Linked DNA regions of Ovis aries. The protein of the gene in region 2 binds, or shares a complex with, the protein of the main gene of each other region. Links are inferred from orthologs where the notes say so. Each region holds a gene or a part of one and is shown on either strand. Other genes may lie near its edges. The genes, in order: MAPK10, MAPK8IP1 and MAPK8.

Evidence for each region.
Region 1: the proteins of MAPK8IP1 (region 2) and MAPK10 are in contact, whole or in part, in a crystal structure (PDB 3PTG), measured with the Homo sapiens proteins. The link is inferred for Ovis aries from reciprocal best matches to the Homo sapiens genes MAPK8IP1 and MAPK10. Residues at the interface, in NP_005447.1 of Homo sapiens: Pro158, Lys159, Arg160, Pro161, Thr162, Thr163, Leu164, Asn165, Leu166; in NP_620448.1 of Homo sapiens: Asp150, Ala151, Gln155, Val156, Met159, Leu161, Glu164, Arg165, Tyr168, Leu169, Tyr171, Val197, Lys198, Ser199, Asp200, Cys201, Trp362, Asp364, Glu367.
Region 3: the proteins of MAPK8IP1 (region 2) and MAPK8 are in contact, whole or in part, in a crystal structure (PDB 3VUM), measured with the Homo sapiens proteins. The link is inferred for Ovis aries from reciprocal best matches to the Homo sapiens genes MAPK8IP1 and MAPK8. Residues at the interface, in NP_005447.1 of Homo sapiens: Arg157, Pro158, Lys159, Arg160, Pro161, Thr162, Thr163, Leu164, Asn165, Leu166; in NP_001310257.1 of Homo sapiens: Lys83, Asp112, Ala113, Gln117, Val118, Met121, Leu123, Glu126, Arg127, Tyr130, Tyr133, Val159, Lys160, Ser161, Asp162, His286, Val323, Trp324, Asp326, Glu329.

What each region holds. Positions count from the first base shown.
Region 1 is NC_056059.1:101,634,200-101,637,849, forward strand, and holds part of MAPK10 (mitogen-activated protein kinase 10), read right to left. Parts: intron 2,540-3,650; coding exon 2,357-2,539; intron 1-2,356. UniProt on the Homo sapiens protein: Serine/threonine-protein kinase involved in various processes such as neuronal proliferation, differentiation, migration and programmed cell death.
Region 2 is NC_056068.1:74,845,760-74,849,509, forward strand, and holds the start of MAPK8IP1 (C-Jun-amino-terminal kinase-interacting protein 1), read left to right. Parts: upstream 1-1,051; 5' UTR 1,052-1,172; coding exon 1,173-1,273; intron 1,274-3,750. UniProt on the Homo sapiens protein: The JNK-interacting protein (JIP) group of scaffold proteins selectively mediates JNK signaling by aggregating specific components of the MAPK cascade to form a functional JNK signaling module. Required for JNK activation in response to excitotoxic stress.
Region 3 is NC_056078.1:41,775,313-41,778,962, reverse strand, and holds part of MAPK8 (mitogen-activated protein kinase 8), read right to left. Parts: intron 1,862-3,650; coding exon 1,696-1,861; intron 1-1,695. UniProt on the Homo sapiens protein: Serine/threonine-protein kinase involved in various processes such as cell proliferation, differentiation, migration, transformation and programmed cell death.

The DNA.
Region 1 (3,650 bases), on a different chromosome or scaffold from region 2:
ACTGTTAACCTAACAGGTCTGTGTCTATTTCATTAGTTCAAGACCTCTTTGATTTGTAACTGATTTTATACCCAGACTCACACACTCCATGGGTTCTCATGTCACCCACATTTCTGTTCTTGGAAGAGTAGGGGTTGCGGTGGTCTCCTCATCTATGGGAGAATGAACCACTGGAACACCAAATCATCTCACTAAGAAACAATGGTCACTACTGCTTGTAGGGAACAAAATGAGGAAGAGGAAAAGATTTTAATTCTTCATCTTTCATTCTTTTGTTTGCAAGTAAATGTCTTACACTCTTTAACAACAGTAGAATAAATCCTTCCCTTTGATTATTTGTGTAATTCTTTATAATTTGCTGATTTTGCATTATAATTATAATTCAATAATTATAAAATTCAGAGAGTGGTACAGGTAGCTGAAGGGAGAAACCCAACTGTGCAACGAAAGTGTCACAGACACAGAAACAACACTGTACTTAATTTAAAAACCACAAGATGGAAGTCTAGAGAAGATAATATGACCCTGGGAAGTTGTAACACTATATTTTGGTTTCTCCACCTCATTTAATTCTATATTAACTATAAATTAAGTCTGTACATTTAATCTGTAACTAATTAATTGTCCACTGAACAATTTGCAGTAAAATTTCACGAGTGTGTGTCCTTTTGCAGGGCGGGGCGGGGTGGGGGGATTCCCTAATAGCTCAGTTGGTAAAGAATCCACCTGCAATGCAGGAGATCCTGGTTCGATTCCTGGGTCAGGAAGATCCCCTGGAGAAGGGATAAGCTACCCACTCCAGTATTCTTGGGCTTCCCCTGTGGCTCAGATGGTAAAGAATCCGCCTGCAATGTAGGAGGCCTGGGTTTGATACCTAGGTTGGGAAGATCCCCTGGAGAAGGGAAAGGTTACCCACTCCAGTATTCTGGCCTGGAAAATTCCATGGACTGTAAAGTCCATGGGGTCACAGGGGAAGCTGAAGTTCCAATACTTTGACCACCTGATGTGAAGAGCCAGCTCATTGGAAAAGACCCTGATACTCTGAAAGATTGAAGGCAAAAGGAAAAGATAAGATGAGGAATAAGATGAGCAGAGGATAAGATGGTTAGATAGCATCACTGACTCAATGGATGTGAATTTGAGCAAATTCCAGGAGACAGAGGAGGACAGAGGAGCCTGGTGTGCTACAGTCCATGGGGTCACAAAGAGTCAGACAACATAACAACTAAACAACAACATAGATCCCCTGGAAATAATCATTTTATTATTAATAAAGATTTATTATTTTTTATATCTAACAGTTACTGAGCATTTAGTGTGAGACAGGCAGTGTTTTAAGTGCTTGGCCAAGTATTCAATTAATCCTCCCAATGATCCTATAAGATAGACACTTCTTGCTTTAGTTTGTTAAAGAAGATACAAAAAGATTAGATAACTTGCCCAGGTTCACACAGATTTTAAAGGATAGGATTCCTTCCCCCAGCAAAGGAAAAAAAATCAGATTTGCTTCATATCCCCAATTTCTGAAGTGTCATAAGTTAGAATAAGAATTAAAATATTACTTACATTATACTTTATACCTTGCCAAATTTATTCTATGTCTTGAATCCTATAAAGAAGCCATTATGATCTCCATTTTGTGGGTAAGAAATTAAGATTCATTACTAAAGTTCATAATGGCAGACATAGTAGTAGAAAAAATTACTTATTAATGAAAGTCTTTATGTTGAAAACAAAATGTGAAGGTAAAAATCTCATTTGTCACTCTAAAATAAAAAACGATGGCTAAGCATTTAGTAAAATACAAATAAAACTCAAACATCTATAGTTTCAAGATTTTACAATGAAAATCTTGTGTTGAAAATATTTTCCAGAATATAAAAATAACTGGAACAATTGTTTCAATGTCTATATAATGTTGTTCTTTTAGCATTAACATTGCAAAGTAATTTTAGATTCTAAATATGTGAATAGTTAACCCATACCACTGTCACACACTTTATTACTAGTCTTCTCTCTAGATATCCAGAAAATTTTAAAATCCTTGATTACTTTCCCTTTGTAATGAGGATCTTTTAAAAATACCTCTTCTTAAATTGAGGTTGTTGTTCAGTTGCTAAGTTATGTCCGACTCTTTGCGACCTCATGGATTGCAGCATGCCAGGTTTTCCTATCCTTCACTATCTCCCTAAGTTTGCTCAAACTCATGTCTATTGAGTCAGTGATGCCATCCAACCATCTCATCCCCTGTCGCCTCCTTCTCTTCCTGCGCTCAATTTTCCCAGCATTGGGAGAAGTGTGTCTATGGTTTGCATCACCCACGCGGTGGTTCTGAAGTTATCCCTGAAGGGCTTACCTTTGAGTTTATTGTGCTCAGAGTCCGCTGGGAAGAGGGAATCTGGAAAGAGCTTGGGGAAGGTGAGTCCTGCATACTTGGGCCGATTCTCCACATAGTTTCTTACGGTGGGTTGCAATTTCTTCATGAACTCTGGACATGGTGTTCCTAGTTGCTCAATAACCTTATTCCACTGGTCAATATCTGAGAATTGAATAGTTAAGGGCAAAAACAAGTGCAGGACACCAGCTCTTGCCTTTCACTAGTTGGGAGACTAACTGCTTCTCAGAACTCTGAACAGTCGATAACACAAAAGAAGTTCTAAAAAAACAACAACGGACAAACATATAAAATCAGATTGTCAGGCAGTGAATCCTCTTGGAATTTTAAATTCACTTTGAGAACACATACACTTTTGAGGAATTAGCATTACTTAACAAAATATGATATCATGAAAGAGTCTTTGGGTTGTGTCAATGGAAAGGTATTTAAATAACGCAAGAATTTCTTTTATTGAGTTAAACTTCTATATAGCCATGTAGTGTGGAAGAGAAAAATTATAATGACATATAATTATATTATCATGAAATTATTCCATTTATTTTCTAAAAATGACAGATGAATAAATGTTTTATAAGATTCATCTGTATTTTTCTTAAATTCTTTATAAGATTCTTTTTTCCTCTTGTTCTCAACAAAATGGGAAATTTCCTCGTCTGTTAATTTTTTCGACTCATGCACATTACAAATAGAATCAGTATGATAATAACTTATTAACTGTTCTTCAAAGACTTAAAAGATTCTGTTTATCAAAGCAGTTGCAGTTTCATACCCATTTTATTACTTCTGATAATAGTGCCTTATATCCTGAATATTGTAATATTCAATGAAATATGAAGGTAAACATAGGATGTTCAATTCAAGACAGATTTCATCCAAATGCCTGTGTTTCAAAAGCATGTTAAACATGGGGAATTTTATAAGGAAAGCATTACCTCTCTATGAACACTAATACTTCCAAAACTGGGGGTCTTTGACATGCACACCCACTGATTGAGATTTTCTTTTTCATCTTTCATAGATATTTGATATGTTAGAGCTTGGGAACGATAAATACCACTCATGAAAACTCTGAATAGCCAACTGGAAGAAGTTGATTTCAAATAGATTTCCTTGCCATGTGTCAATGAAAGACAGAGGCCTTAGAAATTCTCAAATCCAATACCATAGGCACTGTTGTCTCCAATGTTGCTAATTCTATAACTCCATCTTTAGTGTAAAGTTAATTCATTTCTGCTAATGCAATTTGTGACAG
Region 2 (3,750 bases):
TCCAGGAGGAACCATGACCCGGAGTTGCAGGGCAGAGGCACTGGAGGGAGCCGAAAAACCATCAAAAGAATCCCTAGAAGTCAACTGTAGGGGCAGGAGGAAAGGCCCCAAGTCTTAGAATGTGAGAAGCCTGCTATGGGGTGTCTGAGTGCAAAAGGGGGTGCTCTGCAGGAAATACAATTGAGGTGCTAAGTGAGGAGAAGGTGACGTCAAAGTCCTGACATGAGGGAGGAGAAGCTGAGAGAAGCCAAAAGGAAAGGCTCAATTCACCATTAGAAGTGTTTGGGGCTGAAAGGGGCTTAAATCACTCTTTAGAGAGGAGACCCTCGGCAGAGTCCTTGGGTGGAGTGGGGGGGGGGAGTCCCCTCAAGGGGTGAGCCCTGGTTCCCAGCTGGAGGTGGGGTGTTCCCAGCCTCCAGTGCCAACATTTGTATTATATTTCATCCTCACGACCATGAGATGGACCATTATCATCCCCATTTCACAGATGAGAAAAAAATCAAGCCTTAGGACTGTTGTAACTAATGTGAAGTCACACCACCTATTCTACTAGGAGAGCCGGGCTGTGACTTCACCCTACCTCACTCCAAAAATCTGTCGGTCCTAGGAGCCAGCATCCAACACCCGCTAGTGTTTCTCTGCCTTCCTCCACGACTCTCCTTTCCTGACTGCCTTCTTTGTCTGCAGCGAGGGGGTCAACTCGGGTCCCAGGGACCAAGATCCCGCCATTAGTTACTGCATACCCGGACGCTAGGCCCACCCCAGGAAGAGAGCCCGCAGGGACACAGAGGGCTTTGCGGAAGGGGAGGCTGTTATTACTGCGTGGGATTGAGGGCGGGGCGGAGCCAAACTCGGGGACCGCGGGGCTGCGACTTCAGCACCTTGGAGAGCGCAGCAGGGGCGGGGCTCCCGGGTAAGGGGCGGGGCGGGGCGGGGCATACCCAAGCCTGGCCGAGGACCCGGGAGCGCGCTCGGAGGCGCTCGCGCCAGTCCCGAGAGCGGCGCGCGGTCTGGAGCCGCGCCCTGCCCTGCGCAGGTGCGCCCGCCGCGCAGTCCCCAGCCGATCCCCGCGGCGGCGGCCTCTCGCCGCGCCCGCGCCTCCTTCCCCGCCGCCGCCGCCGCCGCCGCCTCCGCGCCGCGCTCCGCCCGGATGGCCAGGGCTGTGCGGGAGAATGGCGGAGCGAGAGAGCGGCGGCCTGGGCGGGGGGGCTGCGTCCCCGCCTGCCGCCTCCCCGTTCCTGGGGCTGCACATCGCGTCGCCGCCCAATTTCAGGTGAGGCTCTCCGGCCGCCGCGCCCCACCCTTCAACCTAAATCGATCTGCCCGGGCTCCCCCCACCCCGCACCCGCCTCGCAACACGCACTCATGGGAAACCGCAGAACGAGAGGGCGGCGTGGGGATGGGGTCTCTTCCCGAATCCTCGTCAGCCTCAAGTCTAGACTCATGGCCGATGCATATCCGCGGTGCGGCTCTCTCCGCCATTCCGTGTCCGAGGCGAGGAGATCCTGAGCTGGAACTGGAGGAGGGGGCGCGGAGGCCGCCTTCTCTCCGACTTTGGAGCTGCGGCGGGGTCTGGGGTCCGCGTTGAGGTCCCGCAGGAGGCAGGAAGCCTGGGGCTTTGCCTGCGCACAGTCGGAAGGCTCCTGAATAGAGGATGACACTAGGTTGGGGTGCCCCTCGGGTCCCAGTTTCTTGGGGCGACCGACAGCCTTGGTGCTAGAGAGAGTCGCAGGCCCCTCCCCCAGCCCTGCCTGGCCAGAGGGGCCCAACTCCCAGGCCTGGCGTGGCCAGGACCTTCTGTGCATTGGGACAAGCACTGACCTGGTCAGATGCGTGTAGGTGCCGAACGAAGGCTCAGCCTCAACCCGCGAGATCGAGGCCCGGCTGTGGGAGGGGGAGTCTGGGTTGGAGCCCGCGGGAGTAGCCACGGTTATTGGTGGGGTGGTTCCTGCTGGGGTGAGTACCCTGGATCCTGATCTGAGCTCCTGCTTCAGCTCTCTCCATGCCCCTAGTCTGGCCTTAGGCAACTGGGAGGTGGATTTCAGAGAGGTGGCAGTGGGTGTTGTGGGGGTTGGGATGGACGTCCCTCCGTCCTCATCCTGGCGGGTTGGAGAGGAAGAGGAGGAGGGGTTACCGCTCCCGAGCCCCCAGAAAGAGGCCTCCATTCCCCATTGTTCCTCCATGTAATGAGCTGGTGTCTGCCCCTCTCCTGGGGCCTGCACCCGCGCCGGGCCCCAGCTGGGCTCTGGCGCCAGCCCCTCTTCTTGACCAAGGGGTTTCTGGCTCCCCGGCCCTCAGGTGGGCAGGGGCCTCCAGGGATCGCTAACGGCATCATCTTTAGGACTGGAAATCTCCCAGAAGGCCCGGAGCTGAGCTGCCAAAGACCAGATGGAGAAGGCCGGGCTCCAGGGCTGGGGGCTTTGTGGTTCGAGCCTCAGAGTAAGGAGGCCGAGGTCTGAGACTCACTCCACCGGAGGTGAACTGCGCTGCCTTCCCACCAGCGCTGCCCTCCTTCCAGGAGGCCCCTCTGTGGTGGCTGAGCACAGCCCTGAGACAGACGTGGATGCGAATCCTGGCTCCACCAACTTTCTAGCTGCCTGACCTGGGCAGCTCTTTGGGCTTTCCTCAGTCTCATCTGTTGATGAGCTAATTCATATTGATTCCTTCAGGTGCATCACGCTGGCACTCAACAAGCATCACCCTCCACACCGGCGGGCGCTGAGGCGGCTCATTCCTGCTCGGGGCATGTTCCCGGGGCTGGCTGAGGTCTCCCTCCCCACCACTCTGGGCGTCAGGATGGGCCTGCCCATTTTGTAGATGAGAAGACTGAGGTTCAGGAAGGCGGGTGGCTTCCCCGAGGGGAGTCAGGGCCTGAGGCTGCGTGTTCAGTCCACTCTACCTTCAGGCCCAGCCTGACCCGGAGGACAGCTTGGCCTCCCCACCTGCTTTCCCCTCCGCAGGTGAGAGGGCTTTCCGTCCCTGCTGCCCCCGGCGGGCAGGTTATCCTGGACTCCTGAGGGACAGCGACTGATAAGGAGGGCCCGCCAGTGAGTGTGCCCAGCCCTGGGCCCGGTGGGCCAGGGTGGCACTGTGCCAAGGCTGAGTGTGGGTTGGCCCTCCGGGACACCATGGCCTGGCTGTGGAGATGTGAACAGTAAGGCCAGTGTCTCTGGCCCCGAGGCCTGCCCTGCCGGCTCCAGCAGCCCCCGCTGCCCTTTCCCTGGCCGCCTCTCACAGTTCTGAGCTCGGCTGATGGAGCCCGGGTGGGACTGCGCCCCTGTGGCTCTGGCCTGGCTTTGAATCCTGGCTCCGTCCCTTTAGCCGCATGCTCAGAGTGGGTGCCGAATGCCTTGGGCTGGTTTTTTCTCCATGATGCCTACTTTGGCCCTTGCTCAGGGCGGCCCTAATACTTGGATGAAACAATACATGTTGAGTGTTTCAAGGGCTGTGAAGAGCTGTATTCATGTCGGGCTATTCCTGTGGGTATTATTGTGTGTGTGTGTGTGCACGTGTATGTGCATGCGTGCGTGTGTGCGTGTGACCCAGCACCACTGTCCACTTCCAGAAGGCACAAGACGTCAATACCTAAACTTTGGTTTGCCTGAAGCCCGGCACAGAGTAGGTGTGCAGTGCTTTACTATTTAACCGGGGATGCAACTGGAGAGTTCAGAGAAGAACGCTGGAAACCCTGCCACTTGGGAGGCCTTTGCTCTGCCCAGGCGCCGTTCTAAGCACTTTCTGTGCAAGGGC
Region 3 (3,650 bases), on a different chromosome or scaffold from region 2:
TACATAATCTTGAGAAAAACATATTTTAAAACATTTCTAAAGCTACAAGCATGAGAGGCTATTGCAAGCACTGTCTGGGCAAATGAAGACTGTCCTCAGAATATGAAAAGCCTGATTCAAACATAAAAAGAGCTCTACAGGTCTAACTGCTCAGGCTATTTGGCAGTTTAAATATATCCCATTATCTCACTTTCCAAAAAGCTTTGAGGGTAGCTTGCAATAAAAGACATATATATAAAACAAGTCATTAAAACAGGTGTAGGATGGGTGAGAGGCGTCACTAAAAGGTGGAAGTTCTTATGCTTAACCTTGCTGGCCGATGTAGTTACCAACATTAAGCACTATATTTGACTCAGTTTCCTGGAGACTGAAGGAACACAATAAAGTGAGTCTATAGAATTCTTATCTAAGAAAGGAAAGTATGTCAACTCTTTGCATGATAGTTTTTCTTGGTGCTAATTTCTACTAGGGAGCGCCTAAGATCACAATTCCAAGACAAAGTGACACACTGCACATTATTTATGACAATCAGTGGTTTTACAGCAAATACTTTAAAAAACAATGATCATGCTGTCACTTAAAATAGCAATTCTCCAAAAAAAAAAAAAAGTATAATACTAAATCTAACTCACTGGATTTTACAGGGTATAAGACAATTTTAGGTCAAGAGTAAGACAACAGAACAGCGTGTTTATTTAAGAACAAAAGAATAATACTGATAATAAATGTTTAAAGTGTTTTTAACTGGCTCAGATAAGAATATTAAGCTAAAATCCTTACTTCAAAGTTATCTTTTTTAGAAAAAAAGAATCCTCAAAACTGATTTGATACAGTTTCCTGATTCAGAGTGAACTGCTGTTTCAGAGTCTTTTGCTAGGAAAAATGTCTAGGTCCTACTTTATGAAGTATTTTTAATTATCTCATTTTAAAAGTTAAAGTCAATAAAATCATGTGTAGACTTATCCATCTTCCAAATGACTGAGATTCAGCAAATTTATACCTTTCTTAGGTATAAATATGTGTATGTATAACATTTTTTTAAAATTCATGAACTACATGCCTGAGCATTTTCTTCAACCTAATTCTAGTGATAATTTATGTAACTGGCTATATTCGCACATAACGCCATTTCTTTAAGGCTGGACACAAGGGCTTTGATGAAACACCATTTCCTCTGAAAGGTCACCTTAAATTAATTATCCATCAGCTCTACAGAACAGCCTTATTGTAGCTCTTAAAGTCTGCACTAAGTGCTACTGCTACTAACTTTAATGTCACAGGACAGGAAACGTGTGCAAATACCACTAATGTGAACCAAGATCACCACTAGAGACATGGCGGGTGCTGAGACGGGTCCACTGTATACTCCCTGTGCCCATGTTAGAGTGCTCATTTTCACATTACAGGCAAGAAAATGCTATGTATTCTAGACATGTATTCTTACAGGGGCCATGGTAACAAATTCTTTATCCAACGGTTGTACTGATGGTTATGTATTTGTATTTAAATAAACAGGGGCCCCACGTTTTTCCAAACATTTATGACAAAATTTGTAGTTACTTCCAAACTCTTGATAAACACTTCAAACAGCGATAATTTTCTTTATGCATTTCAATTTAAGTATTTACATAAGAAATCTGATAAACAAAAGCAAATAAATCTGAACAGAATTTCAAGTAAATAGTGTTTGCTGACCGTTTTCTTTGTAGCCCATGCCTAGGATGACCTCAGGTGCTCTGTAGTAGCGAGTCACTACGTAAGGTGTCATCATAAAACTAGTTCCTGCAGTCCTGGCCAGTCCAAAGTCAAGAATCTTCAAAGTGCAGTCTGATTTTACTACTATATTACTGGGCTTTAAGTCCTTCAAAAATAAAAATACAAAAAATGACTGCTATGATATAAACAAATACTTTGCAGTCCACACGTTATGAATGAGATCTCTCATAAAACAGTTCATGCTAATTGTTCATTTTCCTCAAACTGTAACTGTTACCACTGCACAGATTCATCATAAACAGACAGATTTGAGAAACTAGCTTGAGGGCATTTTTAATTTACAAATACATACAGTAGTTATTAGAAGTTAGTAATGTTTTATTTGCTAGAAAATATGATTAGCTAGATACTTTCAATCAAGGGGTGTAAAAGCGATTTGGAATGGCATCTCAAAGCTCATGTAAGAACTTTTATGGTTAAATAAAGAGAGAATCATAAGTTAGCATTTATATTCACTTGTATACTAAATTACTAGCTTTTAAAATTCTCATTTTAAAATCACAGTAAGCTTTATATAGATATTCTGTATCAGCAATAGGCCATTCTATGTCAACCCAATCACATGTCATTTGACTTTTCAAATAGGCAAATGTTCAACTCTGAAGGACCAAAGTAATCATTACCAGTTTTCCCATCACTGATTTCTCACCCAAAATCATACAGATTTGTTCATACAATTTTTGACTGCCCACAGAGGTAGGACAGCCTTGTCCTGGTGCCACTAATCCATAAAATCACCTGCTGCTGATGCTACTAAGTAACGTCTGTGAAGAGCTACCCATGTGAACCCAACCTCAAGGAATTCTATGTTACAATCATAAAAAGGCAGCGGCATAAATACTCAAGGCTTCCCGTTCAACCCATCTGGCCTTTTAGCTACCACGAATCCTATCATGAACGGAGAGACCGAAAAGAGCAGGCCTATAATTCACACATACTGAATATCAGTGATTAACAATACACAACACTGGCCTGAAAAACGATGGTTAACCACTCCTGCATGCCTACATCCAGCGCAGCATGTAACTGTCTTTAGCCTGTGCTGACAAGCAGTCACAGATGGCGTCAGAAGAGGTGCCACCTGTTTGTTGCTGCTGGTCAGCTGCTAAGTTGCGTCCGACTCTTGGCAACCCCATGGACTACGGCACGCCAGGCTCCTCTGTCCTCCACTATCTCCCAGAGTTGGCTCAAACTGATGTCCATTGAGTTGCTGATGCTGTCTATCTCATCCTCTGCCGCTCCCATCTCCTCTGCCTTCAATCTTCCCCAGCACCAGGTCTTTTCCAATGAGCTGGCTCTTCGCATCAGGTGGCCAAAGTATTGGAGTTACAGCTTCAGCAACAGTCCTTTCAATAAATATTCAGGGCTGATCTCCGTTATGACTGACTGGTCTAATCTCCCTGCAGTCCAAGGCTCAGCCTTCTTTATGGACCAACTGTCCCATCTGTACATGACTACAGGAAAAACCACAGCTTTGACTAGATGGACCTTTGTCACGAAAGCAGTGTCTCTGCTTTTTTAATATGCTGTCTAGGTTTGTCATGTCATCGACTGGTTTTATCAAATTAAAAATAAATATCAGCAGGCTTACTGGAACAGAGGATAAACATTTTTATCATTGCTATCCTATAAATATGTGGTCCTGATTTCCAAAATGCAATACCTCAGCAAAGAAACACTGCATGTTCAAAAATAAATATTATGAGCTTTGATGCTATTTCAATGTCTATCATGTTGGTTAATGATTTAATGGCTCATTGTAGTACTGCATTCTAGTCTAGGAATATGATTTCAACCTTAAACACTTTGGAAGAATTAAGAACAAAATAAAAAAAATTTTAAATAGTCGTTTTTTGTTAAGGGAAAGATACTTT